Linked DNA regions of Neurospora crassa OR74A. Each later gene encodes a partner of the first gene's protein in a complex. Links are inferred from orthologs where the notes say so. Each region holds a gene or a part of one and is shown on either strand. Other genes may lie near its edges.

Region 1 (2,965 bases):
AAACGGCGCTGCCCCGTTCTCTCCCGTGCAGGCGTCCCCACTGCATCCGATCGCCACGGCGAACCAGACTGCGGCTTATCAGCAGCAATTGTTGCAACACCAGCAAGAACAGGCCATGGCCCAAGCCCAGGCAGCAATGAGCGGTCAACTGAGCCGAGCTGCAAGCAAGAGACAACAACCAACTCCGCCCACCTCACAACACCAACACCCCCGGCAGCCAGACATCAATGGGGCTCCTCGTATGCCACAGACTCAGGGGGCGGCTCCCCAAGCTAGCGCGAGACCCCGTCACAGACCGCGGCAAAGTAACGCGATTGATGTCGTGGCTTCCCTAAAGAGGATATGCTCCGACGGGGATCCGAGAGAGATTTATCGTGGGTTTACCAAAATTGGTCAGGGTGCCTCTGGTGGTGTGTATACTGGCCATGAAAGGGGAAGCAACAGGCTGGTGGCTATCAAGCAGATGAACCTTGAGCAACAGCCAAAGAAGGATCTCATCATCAATGAGATTTTGGTTATGAAGGAGAGCTCACACCCCAATATTGTCAACTTTATTGACAGTTACCTATGTGCTGGGGAATTGTGGGTAGTCATGGAATACATGGAGGGTGGTAGCTTGACGGATGTTGTCACGTTCAACATCATGACTGAAGGGCAGATCGCGTCAGTTTGCCGAGAAACCCTCAGAGGCCTTCAACATCTGCACTCCAAGGGCGTCATACACAGAGATATCAAGTCAGACAACATTCTCCTTAGCATGGAAGGCAATATCAAGCTCAGTAAGTTTTCCCCTTCGGGCTTTTTGGGCAGTCTCCGAAAGTTCAAACTTTTTGAGCATTTTCCTGTTCATTTTCCCACCATCTTCAACCCCCAACGCCCATCTGGTGCTGTGACCCGATTCTAACCCTTGTTCTTCCACCATAGCCGATTTTGGATTCTGTGCTACAATCAACGAAGCTCAAAGTAAGCGTACGACAATGGTCGGCACGCCTTATTGGATGGCGCCCGAGGTTGTGACACGTAAAGAGTACGGCCGCAAGGTGGATATCTGGTCATTGGGCATCATGGCCATCGAGATGATTGAAGGAGAGCCTCCCTACCTGACCGAGTCGCCTCTTCGAGCGCTTTGGCTCATTGCGACCAACGGCACGCCGCACATCAAGGATGAGCAGTCACTCTCACCAGTTTTCCGCGACTTCCTCTACTTTGCCCTCAAGGTGGACCCGGAGAAGAGGGCCAGCGCTCATGATCTACTAAGGGTAAGTCTTGGTTCGCCCCTGCATTTTGAATGGCCCTCTGTTTGCGGCTCTTCACCTGCTACGTTACGCTACCAGGCTCAAGGAGATGGTGATATTTCCGCCGGGCACCGAGCTAACTCTTGTAACAGCACGACTTCATGAACAAGTGCGTCGACCTATCAACACTGGCGCCCCTTGTCCGAGCAGCAAGGGAAGCCCGAGCCCAAGAGAAGGCCCGTAAAGGGCAGTAGTGTATGATTCTTCTAGGCGTTCTGTGCTGTACACGCACGCACGAGAGATATTCCCCTGGAGCGTTATTGTTTCACATCCCCCTTTTTGTTCTTTAATTTTTTTTTCTTTTTTTTTTTTCCCCTTCTGGGTTCTAAAGCAATTCTCTTCTGCAGCAGAGATTTGTGGATTAGGTGTGGTTATCAACCCTATCTCTACCTTTACGTGGCCGGTCAGGTCTTGATTTTGCATCTGCTGGAATTTCTTTCTTGGTTCGAGATATCTGTGGGTACCCGACACATAACATATGTACTTCGATCCTTAAACGCCAATTCTTCTAGGACTTTTTCTTTATCTTTGTTCACGAACGAAGGATATTCTGCCCCAACGAGCGAAGCGAACCCGGAGCACACACGTATACACACCTCTACACAGGAGGAAAAAACGAACCGTTGCACAGCGAGCGGAATACGAAATGCAAAGTATGCAAGCAAACAAGCCGAAATCACAGCGAAGTAGGCATAGCACAGCGAGCCGGAGCGCGACGGATGTTTTATGTTTGCTGGTTTCCTCGATACGGCAACGGCCTTTCGAGATACACAGGTAACTGAAGTCTTTGCCTTCTTTACGGGTTATTACGGAATTCGGGTTGGGAAACTGGGAATTGTCAAGAGGCGGAACATCTTTTTTTCTTGGTTACGGATGATATTTATGGCAACTATACAACATGGACGAAGAATTTGAACTGCTGCACCAAGATGGATGGGGCCAGATTTTCACTTCAAGGGCTCACAGTGTGTTTATCAGGTAGGGACGTTGTTGGCGTTTCTCACACTGGCAGGGAAAGGACGTCAGGGACAAAGTGCACGCTTGGAACGGGATGAGGGAGACATGAACGATGGCTGGGCTGGAGAATACAGAAGTATTACTTGAAGTGGACGTTGAGAGACTTGACCCTTATACCCGTTTCCTCTCGATGCGACATTCATGATGTGTCAAATTAAAGAGCGTTGCTTTTGACTTCTGAGGAACCCCGACAAAGGTATGCCACCAACAGAAGCTCCTCGATGCAAGCTGCATCCCACAAGCCGGAAGAAAAAAAAAAAAAAAAAGGAAGAAGACGAAGAATTCCAGTCAAGTCAACACCGGGACTCCAGATCTCGGTCAAAGTCATCATCACCAACCACAACACAGAACTTCTCAAGTCTGCTCGCTCTCACACCCTAGTAACCTCCCTTCTTTCCCTCCGTTCAATCCTTCTCCAAAGTTGAAAACCCCTCCAGGCCGCAGTACACCGCTTCCTTTTCGATTTTCCAATGCCATCCCGTTACGATATCACAGAATACCACACAAAGCATTCAATGGCAGTGAACCCATTAGCCAGTATCATCAGTATACAGCACATACACCCAATCCCCATCCAACTCTCCACAATCACCATTATTAACTCGAGATCAGTAATAGTCTTTTGGGTAACTATGTACATGCCCCGTGTGGTG
Region 2 (2,497 bases), on another chromosome or scaffold:
TGCTTCGAACTTTCGCGATACTACGAGGATTTCTACGACTTCCAAATCGCGCTCCTAACCGAGTTCCCTCTTGAAGCTGGAACTACAGGCGGCAAGCAGCGGACGCTACCCTACATGCCCGGTCCTGTTAATTACGTGACTGATGCGATTACGGAAGGCCGCCGCCACAACCTTGACTCTTACGTTAAAAGTCTACTGGAACAACCGCCACACATCTCCCGCTGTAACCTGGTCAAGCAGTTCTTTTCTCCTAGAGAGGGTGATTACGAAATCGACCCTAGCGTTGCTCGCGAGGAATACCGATTCTCTGGAGGCTCTGGTCCGTCCTCTGACTCACCAGCCGACGGCCTCTCACTACAGAGCACAGCCGGCAACAGATATTCTGCCGGTCTCGGTGTTCCTCAGAGGCAGCTGAGCATTGGCAACGGCCAACAGATTCCGGGACCTGGGCAGGCTTCACAGACCTCATTGTCACCTGCTATTATGCAGGGTGGTTCACAGATGAAAGTGAAACTGCACTTCAACGGCGACATCATCGCCATCCGCGTACCCACTGATATTCCATTCCAAGCTCTCCATGACAAGATTCTGGATCGTCTCAAGATTCCTCAGGGCGAGGACGTTCAGCTAAGTTACAAGGACGACGCGAGTGGCGAGAAGCCTCCTCTGATGAACGACGAAGATCTGGATATTGCACTGCAACGGAACGAAAAGCTGCTCGTTTACGTGGAATAATGGACTGACGGACTTTGAAACCCCAACCCATACACGTTTGTTGGCCATATTCCGATACACAGCGCATTCGGATACCATGGTCACATGCGCCATGTTTCACGAACATTTGATTCGAAGGCAGCAACTGGGTAAACTAAGCGCTCGGCCTTCAAAAGTCACGCCAGATGGCTACATACACAAGCAAGGCGAACAACGTGGAGGGAATTGCTCATTTGCGCACTCAGTTACATACCATCTTTTCTCGTTGACGGCTGCCAACAAACTGCTCTTTATCCAACACACAATGCGATATCTATACCCCACGCTATATACCCAAACGCATACGTAAATCATATAGGACTTCGCGGTTCAGTCGTTGTAATACATTTCGAATTGATCGGCTCGTCTCTCTCCACTCACTAAAATTTCTGGGACGCAGATGGTCATGGGGCATTTTGGATGCGGCAGGGACTTTGGGATACGGTGATATTTTTTTGGAACAGCTCAGGAGTCAGGCCAAAGGAGTCTGTGACCATGGTGAAAAAAAGGAAGGAAGTAGAGTCAGGGGAGGATCTGCGCGCTTGCTGGAAGGCTGCGGTGGGGCCAAGTTGGGAGATGGATTCTTGGTTAGGCGTGGGGGAGGGTGGAAGGATTAAATTTGATACCAAACTACGTTGCTACTCGAGGTCGAAGATGGGTGGTGGATTACCATAAGAAGAGGTGGTGGAGGTGGTAATGGTGGTGCTGAGGGTGATGACAAGGGACAAGAAGAAGAAGAAGGGGCCCTTGTGAATGGATGATGAATGAAATGAATTTACACCCACAGGCTTTTTGTGTTTCAGGATGTTGACCGAGATGGCGGGGGACACGGGGTATCGTTTCTGCAGTGTAGGTGAGATTTGAAGATATCCATGTGCAGTCAAGGTGTTTTTGGTAATAAAAAAATTGGGAGCGAAAGATGACCGGAGAAAAGAGAGTAGTGGTGGTCTACTCGCAGCCAGTAAGTAGCATAAATCTACATTTGAAGATATCGCGACTTCCGATAATTGCATGTGACATCTGCTATACAATGTCATTGGAAGTTGAATAAATGCACAATTACGGCAAATGCCAAGCCCATCGAAAACATACATCGCATTCTTGTTCTGGTAAAGGAAGCAATGGTAACAATGACACTTCCACAACAATCAGTCAAAGTTCGTTACATATTTACAAAGTTGGAAGTAACGAAGTCGATGCCGTTTCACACTACCAATGTAATGCTTGTAAGTCAACCAGCCCGAAGGCCAGATCTAGGAAATTCTTACTGAAAAGCATACAGAAATGCAATATACGTCCCCAACTAATAACTCCGAGGCTCACATATCACCTATGAAAAGTGAGTTGGGCGTACAACGAACCGTATACCCCTGCTCCCCTGCTAAAAAAAAAAATTGACACCTGAAACGCCAGTTGCAATCCACCAGAGTCCCAAAGTAGACATAGCGATACCTGGAATGCCAGGATAAATATGGCTGACTGACTGTTGCCCAACAAGACAGACATATTTAGTAATGAAGCAAACAAAACGAGAAAAAAATGAAATGAAAAGAAGGGAAGAAAGAAAAACAAGAAAGGAAAAACCGGGGAACGGGGAAGAAACTCTAAACTAAACCCATTACAAGAAAAAAAAATGGAAGAATAAACACGCCTCGGTATCGGGAGCGAGGCAGGCATAACGCCAGTTCCAAGCAAGGGTCCCCATCTCAGTCACATCTTCCCTCAAACTACAACATGAGTACTC

What was found.
Region 2: the proteins of stk-4 (region 1) and NCU06593 are in contact, whole or in part, in an NMR structure (PDB 2RQW), measured with the Saccharomyces cerevisiae proteins. The link is inferred for Neurospora crassa OR74A from reciprocal best matches to the Saccharomyces cerevisiae genes STE20 and BEM1. Residues at the interface, in NP_011856.1 of Saccharomyces cerevisiae: Asn467, Gly468, Lys469, Phe470, Ile471, Pro472, Ser473, Arg474, Pro475, Ala476, Pro477, Lys478, Pro479, Pro480, Ser481; in NP_009759.3 of Saccharomyces cerevisiae: Tyr164, Phe166, Glu169, Lys170, Ala171, Asp172, His188, Glu191, Trp192, Ile194, Pro204, Leu206, Pro208, Gly210, Phe211, Val239, Gln240, Lys243, Ser244.

The regions. Positions count from the first base shown.
Region 1 is NC_026506.1:2,076,146-2,079,110, reverse strand, and holds the end of stk-4 (serine/threonine-protein kinase ste-20, variant 1), read left to right. Parts: coding exon 1-779; intron 780-924; coding exon 925-1,259; intron 1,260-1,387; coding exon 1,388-1,489; 3' UTR 1,490-2,427; downstream 2,428-2,965. UniProt on the Saccharomyces cerevisiae protein: MAP4K component of the MAPK pathway required for the mating pheromone response, haploid invasive growth and diploid pseudohyphal development. Links the pheromone response G-protein beta gamma subunits to downstream signaling components.
Region 2 is NC_026504.1:1,740,075-1,742,571, reverse strand, and holds the end of NCU06593 (MAP kinase activator), read left to right. Parts: coding exon 1-735; 3' UTR 736-1,740; downstream 1,741-2,497. Other genes in the region: NCU06592 (hypothetical protein), read right to left, coding at 2,476-2,497.